Macaca fascicularis: one gene and its partners. The protein of the gene in region 3 interacts with the protein of the main gene of each other region in a biochemical or structural test. Links are inferred from orthologs where the notes say so. Each region holds a gene or a part of one and is shown on either strand. Other genes may lie near its edges. The genes, in order: SNTA1, SNTB1, FRMPD4 and DLG3.

Region 1 (5,748 bases), on a different chromosome or scaffold from region 3:
CTGGAGATCTGCTCGGCAGAAGGCCAAGACACCCTCTTCCTGAGGGCCAAGGATGAGGCCAGCGCGAGGTCGTGGGGGAGTGCCATCCAAGCCCAGGTCAACGCTCTGATGCTGCGGGTCAAGGATGAGCTGCAGGCACTGCTGGCAGCCACCAGCACAGCTGCCAGCCAGGACATCAAGCAGATTGGCTGGCTGACTGAGCAGGTGCCTGCTGGGCCTGGGACCTATCCCTCCCTCTCTTCTGCTCCTTTGGAGCTGGCCCTGTTCCCAGTGCCCCGGCTACCTTGCCCCACCCTGGCCCTCTGCCCTCTCTTCCCCCACCCATCCTTACTGCTGTTTTGTCCCCTGCAGCTGCCCAGTGGGGGCACGGCCCCCACCCTGGCCCTGCTGACTGAAAAGGAACTGCTCCTCTACTCTTCTCTCCCTGAGACCCGCGAGGCCCTGAGCCGGCCAGTCCGTACTGCCCCACTCATCGCCACCAGGTACCCATGGGCAGGGGCAGTATGTCTCCCCCAGAACTTGCCGGGAGATGCTCCAGCAGGGCCCCAGAAGCTGGAAACTCCAGCCCTGTCCACCCTCAGCTATTCCCCAGGTGACCTGAAGCAAGTCTCTGCCCTGTCTGGGCCTCAGTTTCCTTATCTGTAAAATGGGTGCTTGGAACAAAAGGACATAAGGTCCCCGCTAGCCACTCATTCATTGACACTTATGCCTTATGCTGCATGGGTCAGAGGGCACAGAGCTGACCCCAACAGTCGCTGCCTCCAGAGAGAACCTTGTCTGATTGGGGAGACAGACCCAGGAACAGCCATTACAGTGCAGAGTTTGTAGGAGCCACTTAACTCTGTAGGGGTAGTTGAGGAACGCTTCAGGGAGGAGGTGACATCTGAGCTGGACTTTGATGGATGAGTAGAAGTTTTCTGTTTAAGAAAGGGTGAAAGAGCATCCCATGCAGAGAGAACATCATGGTCAAAGGTACAGAGGCATGAAGGGCTATAGCGTGTTCATGGGGCTATGAGTTTGTGACAACCAGAATTCATGCAGGAAATGGAGAGAAGGGAGTTGGCAGGGCCTGATCTTGCAGAGCTTCTTTTGCCTGATTAAGGAATGTTAGCTTTATCTTAAGAGTTTGGCAGTGTTGAAGGGTTTAAGCTGGGGAGCGAGGTGCTCTGGTTGCTTTAAGAGAATCCCTGTGGCTGCCACGTGGAAAATGCAGCGGAGAGTGCAGGATGGAAGTGGGGAAGCGCTGCAGTCGTGCAGGAGAGATGATGGTGGCTGGGGGAGGTGGAAGTGGGCGGCAGGAGCAGATGGAGAAGAAAGGCAGCATTGGCATTGGAAACCACATGGGTGTAAAATTAACAGGGCTCCGTGCTTGCCAGATGGGGCGGGTGAAGGAGGGGTCTGGAATGAACAGGAGGTTTGGAGCTGGTGTCTGGGTGAGCGTGGGACTGGGGGTGGGGGTGGAAAGGGAGGAGGCTGGAGCAAGATGCTGAGTCAAGTCCAGAGTGTGTGTGGGATGGAGAGGGAGCTTGGATAGGAAGCTTGGGGACTCAGGGGTCTGCAGCTCAGGGCTGGAAAGTGGAAGGCTGGCGTCAGCAGAAGTCTGGGGGGGAAGTGAGCTATAGGAGAAAGAGTGGGTGAAGGGAGGAACAAAGAGGGATATGGGGCAGAACTCTTAGGTCTGCCCCAGAGAGGGGCAGTTGGCTTACCAAGGCCACACAGCAAGTGACAGTCAAGCTGCAGGGGTCTGAAGTCCTTGTCACCCATGTCTCCTTACCTCAGGCTGGCTCTGGCCCATGTGTCAGGAGCCTGCTGGCTACTAGGGATAATTAGGTCCTGGATTGTCTACCTAATCAAGTGATTCAAGTCAGGCAACAAATGTTTATTGAGCCTCTACTGTGGTCAGGCATAGTTTTACTTAATGGGAATACAGTGGTGAACGCAAGATCAACATTTCTAACCTAGCTGACATCCTAGTGAAAAAGACAGTGAAAAACCAACAAAAACAAATAATAAAAAGTATAATTTCTGGTACCATGATGAAAAAGTAAGGCTAGTGAGTGACAAGGGTGCTATTTTGGACTGGCAGGCCAGGGAAAGCTTCTCAGAGGAGGTGACATTTAAACTAACATCTGAAGGAAGTGAGGGAGTGAGCCATGGAGATAATCAGGTAAGCGTGTATAGGCAGAGGGAACAGCATACGCAGAGGTGCTGAGGCAGGCGTGTGCTAGGTGTGTGTGAGGACACCAGTGTAGCCGGAGCCAAGGGAGCGACAGGGAGGGTGGCAGGAGATGTCTCCTGCTGAGTCAATCAGTGCCCCCTGGCAAGTCCTGTCCTGTTAGGTGGTAAAGGATTTACAGGGTTTTTCCCAGGTCATTGGCCCCTTTGCCCAGAACTATTTGCCCCCTGCCCGAGGCCTCATGCTCAGCCCTCTGCCCCTCACCCCCAGACTGGTGCACTCAGGCCCCTCCAAGGGCTCAGTGCCCTACGATGCAGAGCTCTCTTTTGCCCTGCGCACGGGCACACGTCACGGTGTGGACACTCACCTGTTCAGCGTGGAGTCACCGCAGGAGCTGGCTGCCTGGACCCGCCAGCTGGTGGATGGCTGTCACCGGGCCGCCGAGGGTGTGCAGGAGGTGTCTACAGGTGTGCTGGGAGGATCTGGGAGTGTCCCTCTGGTAATGAGCCTCTTATCCCCAGGGGCATTCAAGCTTCCTTCTTTAGGGCACTTCAGGAGGGGACAGAAAATGGGGTTTGGAGGTTAAGGTGGGTGGATCACCTGAGGTCAGAAGTTTGAGACCAGCCTGGCCAACATGGCAAAACCCCATCTCTACTAATAATACAAAAATTGGCTGGGTGTGGTGCCTCATGCCTGTAATCCCAACATTTTGCGAGGATGAGGCAGGTGGATCACTTGAGGTCAGCAGTTGAAGACCAGCCTGGCCAAAATGGTGAAACCCTGTCTCTACTAAAAATACAAAAATTAGCCAGGTGTGGTGGCGGGTGCCCGTAGTCCCAGCTACTCAGGAGGCTGAGGCAGAAGAATTGCTTGAATCTGGGAGGCGGAGGTTGTAGTGGTCCCAGATTGCACCACTGCACTCCAGCCTGGGCAACAGAGCAAGACTCTGTCTCAAAAAAAAAAAAAAATAATAATAATACAAAAATTAGCTGGGCATGGTAGTAGGTGCCTGTAGTCCCAGCTATGCAGGAAGCTGAGGAACAAGAATCGCTTGAACCCGGGAGGTGGAGGTTGTGGTGAGCTGAGATTGTGCCCGCTGCACTCCAGCCTGGGTAACAGAGTGAGACTGTTTCTCCAAAAAAAAAAAAAAAAAGGAAGTTGGGTTTGGGCCCTCTGTTTTGGATGTGCAGGTGCCCTGGCAGGCAGAGACTCTTCTCCCTGGGGTTTTCTTGCTCCAGCTTTGTCAATCTGCTGGTGAGGATGTGAGAGATGGCACTTGGGGTAGGGTTGCCAGAGGAAATACAGGACACCCAGCCTCATTTGAATTTCAGGTTAACAATGAATACTTTTTTCATAGAAGTATGCCCAAATTAGTCATTGTTTATCTGAAATTTAAATTTAGCTGGGCAACTCTGCAGGTCTCCAAGGGCGGTGCTTGGTCGATCTGATGATGCCTTTATCAGGAGTGAGCCTCCAGTCCATGGCAGATTTTAAGCTCCCCCTTTCTACTTGTGGACTGGAAGTGGGTGTAGGTCCTCTGAGGGTGGGGGTGATGACTCTCTGCAGGGTGGGTGTACAGGTGCCACGACAAACAGTGAGCCTCCCGTCCCTGGAGGCATTCAGGCCCCACTTTGTAAGCTGCGGTGGGGGTTGGAGGTTGGGGTGTAGTGTCTGAGGTGCCAGCTGTGCCTGTACCTATGTGCCCTCCCTGCAGCCTGCACATGGAACGGGCGTCCCTGCAGCCTGTCTGTGCACATCGACAAGGGCTTCACACTGTGGGCGGCTGAGCCAGGTGCAGCCCGAGCTGTGCTCCTGCGACAGCCCTTCGAGAAGCTGCAGATGTCTTCAGATGATGGTGCCAGTCTCCTTTTCCTGGACTTTGGAGGTGCTGAAGGCGAGATCGTGAGTGAGGGGCTGCCTTTGCACCCTGGGGAGGAGGGGGTATGCACTCTTGGAGGCCAGGCTGGCCAGGGCCCTGACTCTTCTCTCCATCCACCCTGCAGCAGCTGGACCTGCACTCGTGTCCCAAAACCATAGTCTTCATCATCCACTCCTTCCTCTCGGCCAAAGTCACCCGCCTTGGGCTATTGGCCTAGAAGTCACCGGATGCGCTAGCCCTGAAGAGGGGTATCCATGACATGGCCTGAGCTGGGCCTCCACCGACTGCCTGCTCACCCCTGGGCTGAGGGAAGGGAGAGGAGAGGAACAAGGGCCTCTGAGACCCCACCCCTGAGGGAGACTGGATTGGTCTTGGGGCCCGGGGCCCAGGACCCAGACCCAGGACAGAGTGGACTCTGCCTGTGATGGGGTGGCCCTCCTGCTGCCCCCCACCACCAGTGCCTTTTGCGGAGAGATATTTTGTGTACACAGAAGCCATTCCGAGTCTGGGACCTGCCCCTGTGCGGATCCTGACCCCAGCCAACAGCTGAGCTGCCAGGCCTCCTCGAGGCCCCTAAGCCACCCCTAGAGGTCCCATCTGAAGCTGGAGTCCCCTGGGGTCAGCGGCAAGAGAAACAAGAGGAGACTTTGTTTGTTTTTCCCCTCAGCCCTGCCACCTTGGGGAGTCTGGTTTTTCTCTTCATCCTCTCTCTCCTCCTTACTCTTGGATAAATAAACAGCCTGTGAGACACAGGCAGCCCGGCCCAGTGTCTGTGGTCTGTGCCTTGGCCTTTGGGTCCTGGGGTGGCCCCTGCAGTCCCAAGATGGACCAGACCAAGGACTGGGGCACCTTTCCCTGGAGAAGAACAGACTTTTACCACATGGGCCAAAGAGAGTGTATTGGTTATCTATTGTTGTGTGACAAATTACCCCACATTTTTACAGCTTAAAATGACAAATATTCATTATCTCTTAGGTTCTGTGGGTCAGGGATTTGAGAGGGGCTAAGCTGGGCTGTTCTTGTCTCAGGGTCGTTCATGAGGTTGCAGTCAAATTGTCAGCTAGGGCTGCAGTCATCTGAAGGCTTGACTGGGGCTGGAGGATCCATTCCAATACTGCTCATGCACATGGCTGTGGGTAGGAGGTCTCCGTTCCTCACCATGTAGGGCTAACCCTAGAGCTGCTGCTTGAGTTTTCTCATGATATGGCAGTTGGCTTTCCCCACAATGAGACAGAAGAGAGAGCAAAGAGGAAGCCACAAACAGTGCCTCTTACGACCCAGTCTTGGAAGCCATACACTGTTGCTTCTGCTTTGTTCTATTTGTTAGAAGTGAGTCACTAAGTTCAGTCCACACTCAAGGGGAGGGGAATTAGGCTCCACTTCTTGAAGAAAGGAATGCCAAATAATTTGTGGATCCATTTTAAAGCCATCTTAGAGAGCTTCAGGACCCTTTCCTGCAGAAGGGAGGTGGAGTGGAATGTGTTTGGTGCTTCGGAAACTGCGATGTGCTGACTGGATGTGAGTGGGTGGTGGTTATGACTCCCTACTAAAATCACGACGACAACAGCAATGATGAATTTTTTTTTTTTTTTTTTTGAGATGGGGTCTTGCTCTGTCACCCAGGTGGGAGTGCAGTGGTGTGTTCTCAGCTCACTGCAACCTCCACCTCCCGGTTCAAGCGATTCTCCTGCCT
Region 2 (5,705 bases), on a different chromosome or scaffold from region 3:
AACCAACATACTCCTTCCCATGTAGGTTTGCTTACACAGAAAAAAAAAAAATGTGCTTATCACAGAGATTCTGAGAAATTCCCATCCCAGAGCCTACAGTTTCTTCTGGCAAATCGATATATTATCTGTGGTTGTGCCTGGGCCTCCCACATTGTTTGGCCACAGAGGCAAGATGCAGGCATGATGTTGATGCAGGATTTCTGGTCCAGGAGTCAATCTGTCTTGATTTGTAAATCTTCACACTGGCACTCTGTTGCCTATCTCAACCTTAGTGTATCTGGATTTCAACGCAGATACTCAGGCTCTGGTTTCACTGAAGAATGATGCACATGAGTCAGTCTCTAAAGCAAGGGGCTAGCCCCAGCTGCTTTTCGGTCCTGAGAGTGGATGGTGATACCACCTGTGTTAGCTCCTTGTCTGATTCTGCATGTCACAAAGGGCTGGAGAGCCCCTGAGGCTGCCGTCCCTGCTGTGGCCACCTTTGCATGAAAGAGTAAAGAGCTTTTTGCAAAATGGGTGAGTTAAAAATATAGGAAGAGGGAGAGCTACAAGCAGAAGCATCAATCCAGGGCACCTTCTCACCTGCAATGACTCCACCTTCTCAAGAAAACGTCCAAATGTTTTCATTTCATTCTTTGACCTGGTTGGGACTCCACTCTTTAGGGAGTCATCTGAGCTTTTAAGCCTCCTTGATTAAGTGTGAGTTATTCTAAAAGACTTAGAGAACTTTCAACGATGATACACATCAATGGGAATGTGTTCAATAAGATTTATTTCAACACCTTGCTGGGTTGGGGTTACTTCAGGAATTAACAGAACTGTGTGTTTTGTTTTGTCTTGTGTTTGGAGACAGGGTAGACCGCAGTGGGAAGGGTACATAATGGAGAATCACGAAATACCTTGAGCGGACCCTGAGACCTGCTTAGAGTTAGGGGAAAACTGGAGAGGTTCAAGGATAGAAGAACTCAGGGTTGTTCAGGTGTGACATGGGTTACGTGGGCATTTCTGGATTGCTCTGGGAAGGTAAACAACCATTATAATATTGTTACCCTGGAAAAATGCAACTTGAAATCCAAATAACTAACTTGCAAAGTAACTTTTGAAATATCACCCATTCCAACTGAATTCTTAAATGGGAGGCTTCTTATATGGGAACTCAGGAAGAAAGAGAGATCCCCAGGCAGCATTTGGTGTGGCACTGGGAAAACAAAGATAGGTCAAAAGCTTAAAGCATAGAATGAGTTACAGCTGGAAGAACATTTGTCCCTGGGGTCCGAGGCAGGCATGACCTGTTGAAAACCCCAGGCCAGCAAAGACACCTGTCCAGGGCTCCATAAAAAATATTTCCTGCATTTAAGGAGAGGAGGTTTAAGGCACTCGGGCTATGTTGAGTCTTCATTCTAGAATCTTGGGACAGCGTATTCCCTTTTAACTCCTGGGGAGTCCAGGGCCTTGGTCTGAGTTTAGCTTCCTCCTAGGAACCCGGGTGGAAAGGAGAGACAGGTAAGAACTCCGCAGAGTCAGGGAAGCCTGGGTTTGAGGAAGCAGAGGGAGGAGACCTGGATCTAGTTACAAAGGAGTTGTAAGACCCAGGGACAATTCTACGTGCTGGGTGTGAAAGGGGAGGGGGCTCAGGAGGACCGAGTGAGGGCACTGAGGCAGGACGCACGCACCCGGCGAAGGTGCGGTGTGGGCGCCCACGGAGTGGGGGAGCTGGGACGAAAGGGGGACTGCGGTGGGCTGGAGAGAAGCGGGACGGGGAAGGCGCTCGGGAAGCTGTCCCCTCGGCGTCGTGCGCTCCGGGGACGGAGGCGGGGAGGTCTGGGCGGGCGAGCGGCGTGTGACCGCCAAGGCTGGGGCGGCTGGAACAGGTGAGCGGCCGCTGGGTTGTGGGTCCCCGCCCTTCACCGCCAGCGTGCCTCCTCCCACGGACTCTCCCCAGCGCTGAGCTGCTCCGCGGCTCCCCTTGGTTTGGGGTTTTGCAACTGGCTGCTGGCTTTTTTCCCCTCCCCTGTCTCGGTCTCTCCTTCTTCTTTTAGGTTGCTCCACCCCGCCCAGGATCAGGAGAGGGGGAACCAGCCTGACTGCGGCTGCCAACTCCCGCCGAGTGCGTCTGCGAACTCCCGGAGCGGAGTCCCGCGTGCCGCCACCTCCTCACGGGGCGCACTCTCCTCGCTCCCCCGGGCCCCGCGTCCTCCCCCCGGCCACCCTTCCCCACTTTTCCCCCCTTTTCCAATCACATGGCATTTTAAGAATGCCGGAAAGATGGCGGTAGCGGCGGCGGCGGCGGCGGCGGCGGCGGCTGGGCCGGCAGGCGGGGGAGGCGGCCGGGCGCAGCGGAGCGGGCTGCTGGAAGTTTTGGTGCGGGATCGCTGGCACAAAGTTCTGGTGAACTTGAGCGAGGACGCCCTGGTTCTGAGCAGCGAGGAGGGCGCTGCGGCGTACAACGGCATTGGGACCGCCACCAATGGCTCGTTCTGCAGGGGCGCCGGGGCTGGGCACACGGGCGCGGGCGGCGCGCAGCCCCCGGACTCGCCCGCCGGGGTCCGCACCGCCTTCACCGACCTGCCGGAGCAGGTGCCCGAGTCCATCTCGAACCAAAAGCGCGGCGTGAAGGTGCTGAAGCAGGAGCTAGGCGGGTTGGGGATCAGCATCAAGGGGGGCAAGGAGAACAAGATGCCCATCCTCATCAGCAAGATCTTCAAGGGGCTGGCGGCGGACCAGACCCAAGCCCTGTACGTGGGCGACGCCATCCTGTCCGTGAACGGAGCCGACCTGCGGGACGCCACCCACGACGAGGCGGTGCAGGCGCTAAAGCGCGCGGGCAAGGAAGTGCTGCTGGAAGGTAAGGGGTTAACCGCGCGCGGGCAGCGCCGGGCGCGCACACACCTGCTCGGCTTCCCACCCGCACGCTCACACTCACACCACACTCGACCACGTGCCGACACACCCCAGGGGGCCGAATGTGTGTGTGTGGGTGGGGGAGAGGGCGGAGGAATTGGCAGCATAGAGTTTTGTCAACTTTTACCCACCCTGGGGGCAATTAGTCTCCAGTCCGCAGGGTTGGCTTTAACCCAGGAGGGGTGTATGGAAAAGCGAGGCTAGCAGGGTTTCCCAGCCGGATTGCTGCTTAGTATACGTTGTTTCATTTTTGTCTGCGAGTAATCCTAGTAGAGTGTAGGGATTGGGATATGGAATCGAGAATGAAGGGTGAACTTAGAATATTCCTACATCCAACGTTGCCAAGCAGGGCTACTGCGTAATTGCAACTCATAGTTTTCCGCTTTGGCAAAATTTCCCACTCTAAAGCCTGGGCAACCCAGCAGAAGAGGATTGACTCATAAAGGGGTGAGAGAGAGGTGGCAATATTGTGAATGCTAAAACTCCGACTATCCTTCTGGACGTTCCCCCTGCAAATGGGGGACTAGGGTTATGCCTGGAGAGTTGTGTCAGGGGCCGGGAAATTCGTTGCAGTTTTGGGGAAAATTCACTTTCCCTGCCGGGCATCTGGCCGGTCAGTCTGGATTCCAGGTTCCTCTGGGTGGAGAGCTGGTGAAGTGGTTTTTCTGGCTGCGTTTTCTGGAGCCCTTTCTGAGTGGTGTGGAAACAACTTTGCATTTGTAAACAGTTCCCCCTGCGTGTGAGGAGCCTAGAAACTACTCTCTGTCTCTCGAGATCTGATGTCCCCAGTCCCCTCATTATTGAATGTGAATAGAATAGGAACCACCTATTTACAGTTTTGCACTGTTCATGGCTATGTTGAGTTATGTCGGGGAGAAGGGCATATTGGTAGTAAACTGAATTCTCCTGTTTGGCTACAGCTGCATTTCTCACTTGTTTCTCTTCTCTTTAGTGCTGTGTACATACCTCTGTCAGCACTAATAACGTGTAATTATTTTATCTATTTACTCAGCCTAGCCTACCTATAGATTGCGGTATCTGGAGTCTTTTATTTAGCGGTGGATCTCTCTTGGAGCTTAGTTGCTCCATGTCATACATACTGAGTAAATGAATAAATGAACCTATAGCTATTGAAATAGACTATTTCATCTGAGACCATGTAATATGGTGATTGATTTAAGCCCTAAAGACGTAAGTCAATTTCCTGCTTACTTAGTCGTGGCACTGGTGTGTGAAACTGAGAAAGTTTAAAGCAAGGGTGCCAGCATCACTAGTGTGTGACAGCTGATGCAACTCCCTGGTATGTCATGGCCCACCTCCTGGCCCACAATACAGAGAAGTTCTCCCCCACCAACCTTGTTTGTCTAGAGGATTTGCGATGTCTTCATAGTCAATTACCACCCTGGACCCAGACAGTGGAAAGCTATTTGCTTTGGCTTGATGATTAACATAACAGGAAAAAAAAGTTTTCTTGACTCCAGTGTGTGTTGGTTTGTGTGACAAGGGTCAGGTGGGATCTGGGGCAAGTGTTATTTGGAATATAAACTGTTGGGCACCTGCTCAGTTTGCAATACTTACTGTAAATACCGGGGTAGGGGTTGGGGGTGGGGCGGAAGGCGGGTCATTTTATTTTAGGTACTATCCTTTATTATGTCCCTACTTTTCTTCCTCTGCTTGCTTTCAATTTAACGAATAATTACTTGGCAAAGAGGTAAAAAATATCTCTCACCCAAAAAGAGGAAGAAATTTCTCTGCAATTGAAAATAAACTTAGAGAAAGAAAAAAAATCAAGCAATTATGTGACTTTCAGTTTCTTGAAACAGAAACTGAAAAGTGAGTTTGGTAAAAACCTCTAACATGACATTCTTAGAACACTTTGTCATTTGTCATAGGCAGGACCTCTGGAGAAACACTGTGGGTCTCCTAGATATGAACATTTTTGGCTCAGTGTAGCAGCCTTATCCTCAGCCCAAGTTTTTCAAAATCAGCTGCTGTTAAGGGAAGCGGAGGCCCTCCTCAGAACAGTGTCTCTTATTCTGAGCCAAAGTGTTCGTTCTCAATGCAATGGTAGTCATCAAATACCATCAAGTCAAATATCACAATCCTCTCTTTTGTAGCTTAGCCTAATACTGGGATTCCCAGTTGAAGGGGCTTATTAGGACCACTTCAAGGGCTTTTTAAAAAGACATACCTACTTCTTCATATTCTAACATGCAGTGTGGATTCCAGAGTTTCTACATAGGAGAGGTTTTGAAGATGTAATCTGGTTACATGACAGGGCAAAGGGAAATGTTTTGAAGGTACATTTGTATAGCAAGTACACCCTTTTTTCCGGCTAGATTCCTTTTTGTTTGTTTATTGGGGGAGTAAATGGAGATTAGTTTAGTACTCCAACCACCGCCCACACGCACCCCACTGCATGACATGCGCCCCCTGGTGGAGAGCTACTACCTCTACGAGTGGAACACCCTGTAAAGTGAAACCCTGGAAAAGTTTCAATGCCTGCATTCTAGGCATAGATTCCGCCACAGAATTAACATAACCTCCCTAAGTCTCAGCGTATTCATCCATGAGATGGGAATAAGGAAACCTGCTGGACCTGCTTACTTTACAGGACTGCTGTATGGAAGAACACATTGAGAATGAAAGGTGTGTATCAAATATCTGCTGCAAGTAGTTTTACAGTTCAAATGAAATGAACATAAAACTGTCCCTTCTCAAGGACAGTCCTATCTTTTTCCTTTACTGGAGTTTATATTTCTCATTTTTATAACACTTTTTTTTTTGTACTATGGTGTAATGCT
Region 3 (4,960 bases):
ACTACTAGATGAGAGTCCTGAAATGCTGGAGAAGCAGAGAAATCTCTACATCGGCAGTGCCAGTGACATGAAGGGCCTGGATCTCACTCCAGAGGCAGAGGGCATCCAGTTTGTGGAAAATTCTGTTTATGCAAACATAGGCGATGTGAAGAGCTTCCAGGCTGCAGAGGGGATCGAGGAGCCCCTCTTGCATGACATCTGTTATGCAGAAAACACTGATGACGCAGAGGATGAGGACGAGGTGAGCTGTGAGGAGGACCTCGTGGTGGGGGAGATGAACCAGCCGGCCATCCTCAACCTGTCTGGGTCAAGCGATGACATCATTGACCTCACATCCCTGCCCCCTCCAGAAGGTGATGACAATGAGGATGACTTCCTGTTGCGTTCCTTGAACATGGCCATTGCCGCACCCCCACCTGGCTTTAGAGACAGTTCAGATGAAGAGGACTCTCAGAGCCAGGCAGCTTCCTTCCCCGAGGACAAGGAGAAAGGCGGCAGCCTGCAAAATGATGAGATCCCCGTGTCCCTCATTGACGCTGTGCCCACCAGCGCCGAAGGCAAGTGTGAGAAGGGACTGGATAATGCCGTTGTCTCCACGCTGGGAGCTCTAGAGACTCTATCCGTGTCAGAAGAACAGCAGACCAGTGACAATTCAGGTTCTTTCACAATTGTTACATTCATTCACTGATAACCATATCATTCCATCCTTCCAAGCCATTTGCCCTTGGAGTTCTGTTACATGGTGTTCTCCATTTCACAAATGTCCCATTTCATAAACGTGCTGAAACTGCCATCATAGGTTTTTTTGTGTGTATGTGATTTCTTTTGTTGTTACTTTTTTAAAAACATAAGGCACATCTCCCCCACCCCCACCCCCATTTCTGGAAAAACTGCAATAAACTCAGAGTCCTTACTGAAAAGGGAAAAACTTGGTATTTTGTTTTAGTAATAACGGGTCCCATTTTCTTACATGTCTCCAAGTGCCTCTGATGCATCCATTAATCAGTTCTTGTTTTTTACGGCATGCAGGTGTAGCCATCTTGCGGGCTTATAGTCCTGAGTCTTCGTCAGACTCGGGCAATGAAACTAACTCTTCTGAAATGACTGAGAGTTCTGAACTGGCCACAGCACAAAAACAGTCAGAAAACCTCTCCCGCATGTTCTTGGCCACTCACGAAGGCTACCACCCCCTTGCAGAAGAGCAGACTGAGTTCCCGGCCTCCAAGACCCCCACTGGGGGCTTGCATCCAAAGTCCTCGCACACCCTGGCTGCTAGGCCAGCAACTGACCTCCCGCCCAAAGTTGTGCCTTCCAAGCAGTTACTTCACTCAGACCACATGGAGATGGAGCCTGAAACCATGGAGACTAAGTCAGTCACTGACTATTTCAGCAAACTGCACATGGGGTCGGTGGCATACTCCTGCACTAGCAAAAGGAAAAGCAAGCTGGCCGATGGTGAGGGGAAGGCACCCCCTAATGGGAACACAATAGGAAAAAAACAGCAGGGGACCAAAACGGCAGAGATGGAGGAGGACGCCAGTGGTAAATTTGGTACTGTGTCTTCACGGGACAGTCAACACCTGAGCACTTTTAACCTGGAGAGAACTGCCTTTCGCAAGGACAGCCAAAGATGGTATGTGGCCACTGAAAGCGGGATGGCTGAAAAAAGTGGATTAGAAGCAGCAACGGGGAAAACCTTTCCAAGAGCTTCTGGTCTTGGGGCAAGGGAGGCTGAAGGGAAGGAAGAAGGAGCTCCTGATGGAGAAACCAGTGATGGCTCAGGACTTGGTCAAGGGGACCACTTCTTAACTGACGTGACCTGTGCATCTTCAGCCAAAGACTTAGATAACCCAGAGGACGCTGACTCGTCCACCTGCGACCATCCTTCCAAGCTTCCTGAGGCTGATGAGAGTGTGGCCCACCTTTGTGACTACCACTTGGCCAAGCGGATGTCATCGCTGCAAAGCGAGGGCCATTTTTCTCTGCAGAGCTCCCAAGGCTCTTCAGTGGATGCAGGCTGTGGCACGGGCAGCAGCGGCAGTGCCTGCGCCACACCCGTGGAGTCGCCGCTCTGCCCCTCCCTAGGGAAGCACTTGATTCCTGACGCTTCTGGGAAAGGCGTGAATTACATTCCTTCAGAGGAGAGAGCCCCTGGGCTTCCCAACCACGGAGCCACCTTTAAGGAACTGCACCCACAGACAGAAGGGATGTGTCCACGAATGACAGTGCCTGCTCTGCACACAGCCATTAACACCGAACCCCTGTTTGGCACATTGAGAGATGGATGCCATCGGCTCCCCAAGATTAAGGAAACCACAGGTACAGCAATGATGGATTTAGCACTTTGTATGACATGCCAGGAGCATGTAAACCATATTTACAACAAACTTACAAACGTAAAGTCTGGAAGAAAAGTAAAAGGTAGAATTTAAAAGGCCACAGAACAGTAAAGTACCAATCATTGATCCCCTAATATTTAATAAATACTAAAGATTACAAAGGTGAAAATGGCATTTGCGCTTTATAATCTTGCTCTGTGTTTGCTTTCAGAATTTGATGGAGCAATATGTTTTTTTCCTAAATTCTAAATGCAGATGTTTAGCAATGCCCAGTGTGACTTTTAGTTATATGATAGTATTGCTTAGAGTCACATACCAGTTTGATTTTCTTCCCAAGACATCTGATTTCTAATTCTGCCATTTCATTATTGAGGGACAAAGAAGAATAAGAGAGCAGGGTATCAGGGAGATTGGAGGGGTTTGGAGAGATTATTTGCCTTTCAGCAATCTTACTGACTCCTCCCTACTCTGACATACCCCAGTGTCAGGAAGATTTTGAGGTTATGTCTGATGAGCTGCTTTATTTTCCCCAAAATAATAAAGTGTAAACACACATAGAAACAAGAACACATCCACCTTCTGTATCCCACCTTCACTACTCCACCACTCAATGGTATGCATTCCCCTCACTGATCCACTTGGCTGGTCATTATATGGCAAAAGCAGATACTCTCTCATATTTTCATATTTCAAATTATGTCATCAATAGTGTCTTTTTCATACAGGTCAATAGAAGTTAGTGAGATCTTATATTGGTCATTTTCTATTCCTGTTCTTTTAAGATTTTCTACTTTCTCAAAACCCACCACTGGCTTTACCTGCCTTGGAAAAGTTATCTGTGAATATTACCTAACTCATCACCCAACTGCATATTTACCTCTAAACTAACTAAGTCACACTGTTTAATCTTTCATGATTTATAAAGAACTTTCACCTGAGTTACCTCTTGCTTCTCACAAATATTCTGTGAGATGGGGATTATTTGCTTCACATGACAGCTTTTCTTAAACAAACAAAAAAAAAATGTTGAGCAACTGGCCCAAGGTCTCAACTTCAGACTTTGTACCAGGCAAACCTCATGCTGTCCTCTTAAAAAGATTCACTTATTTAATTTGCATTAATTAAATTAGGCCACTTCTTTAAAAGAAAGAAAGGAAAGAAAGAAAAAGAAAGAAAGTAAGGAAAAGAAAAGAAAGAAAGAAACTGATGCCAGGTTTAACTTAATTCCCTTGAAATGAAACTTAGTATCTTCAATATATTTGAATAATCTATACATAGTTATTTTCTGTGTCTAAGCTTGATAGATAGATATTGGTAGCAAGGCAATTCATGAAATCCCTGAAAATGTTTGGGATTTCTAGACAATTTCAAATGAATCAGCAGTTCCAGAAATAACAGATTCCAGTATTTTCTTGATATTCATTAAAATGGAAATTTGTTATGAGATATCAAGATGCAGCCTTTGGAAAGCAGGGTGACCTTAGCATACGGCAGCCCTTCCAGACTACATCCTTGAGAAATGACAGACATCATGTAGAGATGTAGTAAAAATGGCCTCCCAGGAGATGCTTAATGATTCTCTCTGTTTTTCTACTACCCCTAGTGTAGCTTTGACAGAGCCTGGGAAGGAGAGACGAGGAGGCATGCCTTCAGCTTGGTCTCAACATCCTGAAGCTGATCCCATCCTGCTACCATCAAACATTCACTCGGAATCAAAGGTGCCAATTCCAAATCAAGACCCTAATGATTTCTCCCAAGCAAATCAGGCATATGGAGAGGCTGTGAGCTGGCGGCCACCGGATCTGAGAGGGGGAAGCCTCAGGACACCCCCCAGCCAGAAGGCTCTGAGACATAGCAGCAGTGTCCTCTCCGGATCTGTCGATTTGGAGACCTTCCGAGAGAGAACCAAGGGTGCAGTCAGCTTAAAGTGTCCAGGCATCACAGAAGCACAGGAGGCCAGTTCTGAAAGGCGAGCAGAACTCCCCCTGGGGAGGAAGCTCACCAAAAGTTTTTCCCAAAGCTCGATGCACTTGAGCTCCGAGGGGAGGTTTCACAAAAGGTCCCCAGTGGCTCATAAAGACTCAAAGCTGTATAGGACATTACCCTTGCGGAAGCTGGAGGGCAGCAATTGGAGATGCCGGGGACCCTTCAGCTATTGCTTCCTGAACCGAGGGCAGGATGAAGATGGTGAGGAAGAGGAGGAGAGAGGAGAGGCCACCGTCCAGGTCGCTTGCCTCTATAGACCACAGATGACTCAAGCCACGCCAGAACCAAGCAGCCCATGTCTGGCTGTGGCAATTCAGAAGCAAGGAGGGGAGCTATCCAGAGGGTCAGTGCTGAAGGTCTGGGCAGAAGACCTGCGAGGCCCAGATGACTTGGACTTCAGCAACCTGGCTTTTGATGCCCGGATTGCAAGAATAAATGCCCTAAAGGAGAGCACATATGCAATGCCTGATGGGTTCCTTGCAGCCCAAAATGATGCCAATGAGCTGCTCTGTCTCGTCAGGGCAACAAAGGAGAAGAAAGAGGAGTCACGCCCTGAAGCATACGACCTTACACTTTCTCAGTACAAGCAACTGTTGTCCATTGAGTCCAGACAGTTGGGAAGTGCCTGTAGGAAA
Region 4 (4,960 bases), about 65 Mb from region 3:
GGCATGCACAGGGCCACACGTGGCCCTGCCCAGGCTTCTCCTGAGGGAAGGGCAACTGACGATGAGAAGACGGGGCTGCAGACGGCCTGCTCTCTGGACTCTGCTGCTACTTACGTTCCTGCATGCTGCTCTCCTGGGCCATGTTTTCTTTGCTCTTGTAAAATGGAAACTTTCGAGAGAGGCGGAAACTCTTTTTACGTTTCTTTTTGATCGACTGTGAAAGAACATGAAGATGGAGGGGAAGGACAGAAGAAAAAAAAACAGAACAATGGATTTTAAAGCATGCAAGAAAAACTAAAATGGAGACAACGGTGAGCTAAATAAAAGACCATCTCTCACAAATGGAGTCTATGAGATTAAATGAAAGTTGATGTAAGAGGAAAATTATGTTTACAAGAAAATGTTGTAGGGATGTTAGAGGTTTCTACCTAACCCAGACTCATAACACTCACTGTACTTCCTAAAGAACAAAGGTCACTGTAGCCTCCTGGACACATGCCCTAAGGTACCACTGATATACACAGAGTCATCTACTCCACGTCTCTCTTCCCTCTACTGCTCCAGAAGTTCTTTGGCCTGTGAAGCTCATAGAAAAAAAGGGGTGAATAGAGAGCCCCCCTGCCTCAGGTGGTCTGAAGGGAGGTGGGAGCTCTGGGACTGGGCTTCTTGGCTGGATGCTCTGACAGGATCTATAGCCAGGGAGACACCCATGAGTGGCTTCATTTTCCCCAAGCAAGTCAGCCTTCCAGACAGTCCAACTCCAACACATCTTCAAGAGCCAGTACCCAGGGGGAAGGAGCACAGACTAGCTGTGGACTTTAAGAGCTCCCTCTCTGCTTTCTGAAAAGCAGTCAATGTTCTGACAGGACAGAGCCAGCCCCCGGAAAAAGAGATTTTCTTTTGTGTCCCCCAGTTCTCCTACACATCAGACTAAATTCCAAGCTTCTCGCCCCTCTTTACCTACTGGCTGATTTCCTTGGGAATCCCCACTTACCCTGTTAGACTCAATCATCCCCGTCCTGGCATGGAACTTCACAGTTTTCAATCGAGCTCTTTCTTTCTTTTCTACCCTGTTTTGGAATCAGAAAGAAGTCCTGTTACTGCCAGTAAATGGTCCAGCAGTGGGTTGCAGCAGGCACAGCAGCCATTTTTTTGGCTCACTGAGTAAAAACTATGTTGAGTACCGACTCTACCAAAAAGGAAGCAAGGCACAAATGTTGCTCTCAAGCAACTTCTAATAGGAAAACAAGAAAGAAATACCAGCAAGAGGGCAGGAAAGGCCTTGCTCATGATCATGATGACTCACCTCTTCTTACTGGGGATCACACCGATCTGCTCACTTTCTCCGTGTGGGGTCACCAGCCTTGCCTGCCACCACTCATCATCAGAGGCATTAATGACATGAAGAATGTCACCATAAGAGAAGCTGAGCCCCTGGCTTGGCAGGCAGCTGTCCCGAGTCCGATCGTAGTCAAACAGGGCCCTGAAAGGCACAGTGAAAGATGAAGTGATCATCCAACCCTAAATGCCAAGACACTGGCACCTTGAAAAGATGGAAGGCCAACCCAAACAGCACAGACATAGCAGCCTCACAGCATACTAGAAGGATGTCTCCAGGAGACCACATCCTTCTTTCTGTGCCAAAGTGGTAAATATGCACTCCCTTTCAAAGAAACATCTCATTCTCCCAATAAGAAGCATAAGCGAAAATATTTTACAAACCCCATTTCCTCTTGGCTTCTGGATGCAAGACAAAAGTTCAAAGTAGAACTCATTCAACAGTCCTCTCCCTCACCTACATCCTAGGAAACTAGCTCTAGCAGGGAGCTTTCTCAGTTCACAAACATATCTTCAAAAAGTAGCTAAAGACAGGACAAAAAAATGTTAACTACAGTCCCAAACAATGACTGGTAAACACTGCTGAAACACTAAAGAAAGGGCCCTATGTCCTCAGGAGTCCAAAGAAAAAGCTAAGGCTGACGCTGACCCACACAATGGTAGGGTTGAAAAGAACCAATGGGACCCTAGAAGTGCAGTCTCTTTCTCTTACATATGGGGAAACAGAGGCTCAGTGAGGAAAAATAGTTTGACCTAGATCACATATCTAACCAACCTGGGACAAAACCCAGGTCTTCTGACAAGACATGCTGTTGTGACATGCTATAAATGATGCAGAGTAAAGAAGTAAAAGGGAAGGTGGGAGAAGGTGGGGAGGGAGCTATACAATCCAGGTTTATGGAAAAGGACACCAGCTTGGCTGCTGCTAGAAGTCCTAGGAAATGGTATTGGAAATAAAGGTCTGAGGCAAATTTTGGAAGCCCTTGAATAGACATGATTTAGCAGCCCCTGGAAATCTGAGAGGAGTGACACATCAAAAGAGCCTTACGAGGTCGGGTGCAGAGGCTCATGCCATTATACTTTGGGAGTCTGAGGCGGGTGGATCACCTGTGGTCAGGAGTTCAAGAGCAGCCTGGCCAATATGGTGAAACCCCATCTCTACTAAAAATACAAAAATTAGCTGGGTGTGGTGGCACACGCCTGTAGTCCCAGCTACTCAGGAGGCTGAGGCAGGAGAATCACTTGAACCTGGGAGGTGGAGGTTGCAGTGAGCCGAGATTATGCCACTGCACTCCAGTCTGGGTGACAGAGCGAGACTCTGTCTCCAAAAAAAAAAAAAGTTTCTACTTTTCACATCCAGTGGAACCTGTCTTTATATAGAGTCACCACAAATGGGTGATTTCAGTAAGAAGTTTGTGTTTTTCTATCTGCAATCTAGGCTGTCTTCTTCATATTCTCTTAATAGAGGTGTTTTCACACCTTTGCACACACAGCCCAAAATCTAGTTCCAAGACTTCGACTTCTACCTGCAATACTGTGGCCTTTGGCTCAGTTGGAAGTTGCAAGTAAAACACACTATCTTACCATATGCAAGCCCAAATGAGATAGGATGTAGTAAAACCATGAAGAGTGAAATACCCACCTACTGCTTAAAGTTCTTGAAACAGAGTTCTTAAAAATCAGTGTCAGATGATTTGAAAATGAAAATACCCAAACTCTAACAAAAAGCCCTTTTTTCCCCCTCAGTTTACACACTCAAAGCAGTCAGGAGAATGGCAGAGGCAGCAGACAAGGAGGTGCTGTCCAAGAGGTGCATTCTGGGCTATGTGTGACAGAATCAAAACTGAATGCATTTTCACTGCCTGAGTCCTGCATTTCCTAAAGCAAGGAAGACATTCTGTCAGTCACTCCTACTAAGAAGAGCATCATGAAGCAACCTCATTCTCAGTGACAATGAGAAACACTGGATGTTATTATGGGTTTCAAAGATTAGAACAAATACAGTAAGGAAAAGAACAGAACTTGAATTAAGCACAAATTAGTTTGGTGAGGGAAGGAAGGAAGATGTTAAAATGAATTTAGGAGGCTGGGAGCAGTGGCTCACACCTGTAATCCTAACACTTTGGGAGGCCGAGGTGGGCAGATCACGTGAGGTCAGGAGTTCGAGACCTGCCTGGCCAACATGGCAAAACTCCATCTCTACTAAAAATATAAAAATTAGCCAGGCAGGATGGTGGGCGCCTGTAGTCCCAGCTACTCGGGAGGCTGAGGCAGGAGAATAGCTTGAGCCCGGGTGGCAGAGGTTGCAATGAGCCAAGATTGCGCCATTGCACTCCAGCCTGGGTGACAGACTGAGACTCCATCTTCAAAACAAAACAAAACAAAACAACAAAAAAATTAAAACACATATAGCACAAGCTAAGTAAAAACAAAATAAACACAGATCAAAGTCAAAAAGATTTTGCCAGTAGTTAACTCTGCACATTGGGAATTGTACTATTCGGGCTTGTGTTTTTAAGCACAGCATGTGTTCCTTTCACAATTTTCAAAAAACATTAAGTCAATTAAAAAGAAAAAGTGGGGAAGCAGATATATCAAGCACTGGTGTGAGTCATTTACTTCAGATGAGGAACACGTTTGGTTCTAAGTTCCCTGGCAAACAAGGCAAAAAAGGAAGTTGTCTAACTCTAACTTCCCAATAAAAAATGGTACCCAAGTCTATCTGGATTTTGTTTGATGAATTTACGAATGCTGAATGAAGAAGAAATATGAACAGGATGGACAATGCTTTAAGCTATGGTTTTGTAAAAGACATAGAAATGTAGTATCTGAGGTCTGAGATTCTGAACTGGACTATCATTCACAGTTGAGAATGCAAAAAAAATTGAACAAGAATTTCCTTTTCTATCAATCAGAACTGCAAATAGAAAAAGAATTTTGCAGACTGCTAAAGCCTCAGAGGTCATTTTGTCCAACTTTCTATCTGATAAAGGAAATCCCTTAGATATTCTCTAAGTTTCTTTCCAGCTCTAGCATTTAATGAGTCTGGGTCTTTCCTAGATCTTCTCTACCAGGCTAAACATTCCCAATTCCCTCAACAATTCCTTTGTCGTAACTTTGATTTGTTTTCCAAACCCGTGATGTGGATTTTCCCTAAATCTACTTTGCCTCTTTTTCCTGCTGAAATTTTGTTTGACTAAGAGCTGGAAAATTTCCTCAAAGACAACGAAAGTCAGGCCCAGATATGCACACGGCCTCATCTAGAACTGCATGCTGGGTGACTCTCAGACCAGGGCTCTTCTATCTCAGAAAATTTTGTAAGGCCTAAGTCACAGTCACATGTGTTTTGTTTTGTTTTTTTTTTAAAAAAAGCTAATTCTTCGCCAGGCATGATGGTTCACATCTGTAATCCCAGCACTTTGAGAGGCCAAGGCGGGCGGATCACAAGGTCAGGAGATGGAGACCATCCTGGCCAACATGGTGAAACCCCATCTCTATTAAAAATACAAAAATTAGCTGGGCATGGTGATGCATGCCTGTAGTCCCAGTTACTCGGCAGGCTGAGGCAGGAGAGTCACTTGAACCCGGGAGGCAGAGGATGCAGTGAGCCGAGATCACGCCA

The links.
Region 1: the proteins of FRMPD4 (region 3) and SNTA1 interact in a test that uses a peptide from one of them, tested with the Homo sapiens proteins (2 studies listed by IntAct, with this or other methods). The link is inferred for Macaca fascicularis from reciprocal best matches to the Homo sapiens genes FRMPD4 and SNTA1.
Region 2: the proteins of FRMPD4 (region 3) and SNTB1 interact in a test that uses a peptide from one of them, tested with the Homo sapiens proteins (2 studies listed by IntAct, with this or other methods). The link is inferred for Macaca fascicularis from reciprocal best matches to the Homo sapiens genes FRMPD4 and SNTB1.
Region 4: the proteins of FRMPD4 (region 3) and DLG3 interact in a test that uses a peptide from one of them, tested with the Homo sapiens proteins (2 studies listed by IntAct, with this or other methods). The link is inferred for Macaca fascicularis from reciprocal best matches to the Homo sapiens genes FRMPD4 and DLG3.

The regions. Positions count from the first base shown.
Region 1 is NC_088384.1:89,418,664-89,424,411, reverse strand, and holds the end of SNTA1 (alpha-1-syntrophin), read left to right. Parts: coding exon 1-204; intron 205-351; coding exon 352-482; intron 483-2,446; coding exon 2,447-2,643; coding exon of another isoform or gene 2,644-2,675; intron 2,676-3,890; coding exon 3,891-4,078; intron 4,079-4,179; coding exon 4,180-4,272; 3' UTR 4,273-4,818; downstream 4,819-5,748. UniProt on the Homo sapiens protein: Adapter protein that binds to and probably organizes the subcellular localization of a variety of membrane proteins. May link various receptors to the actin cytoskeleton and the extracellular matrix via the dystrophin glycoprotein complex.
Region 2 is NC_088382.1:130,428,047-130,433,751, reverse strand, and holds the start of SNTB1 (beta-1-syntrophin), read left to right. Parts: upstream 1-2,062; 5' UTR 2,063-2,265; coding exon 2,266-2,845; intron 2,846-5,705. UniProt on the Homo sapiens protein: Adapter protein that binds to and probably organizes the subcellular localization of a variety of membrane proteins. May link various receptors to the actin cytoskeleton and the dystrophin glycoprotein complex.
Region 3 is NC_088395.1:12,491,148-12,496,107, forward strand, and holds part of FRMPD4 (FERM and PDZ domain-containing protein 4), read left to right. Parts: coding exon 1-656; intron 657-1,029; coding exon 1,030-2,319; intron 2,320-3,942; coding exon of another isoform or gene 3,943-3,947; coding exon 3,948-4,960. UniProt on the Homo sapiens protein: Positive regulator of dendritic spine morphogenesis and density. Required for the maintenance of excitatory synaptic transmission. Binds phosphatidylinositol 4,5-bisphosphate.
Region 4 is NC_088395.1:77,242,027-77,246,986, reverse strand, and holds part of DLG3 (disks large homolog 3), read right to left. Parts: intron 1,484-4,960; coding exon 1,307-1,483; intron 1,071-1,306; coding exon 995-1,070; intron 215-994; coding exon 115-214; intron 1-114. UniProt on the Homo sapiens protein: Required for learning most likely through its role in synaptic plasticity following NMDA receptor signaling.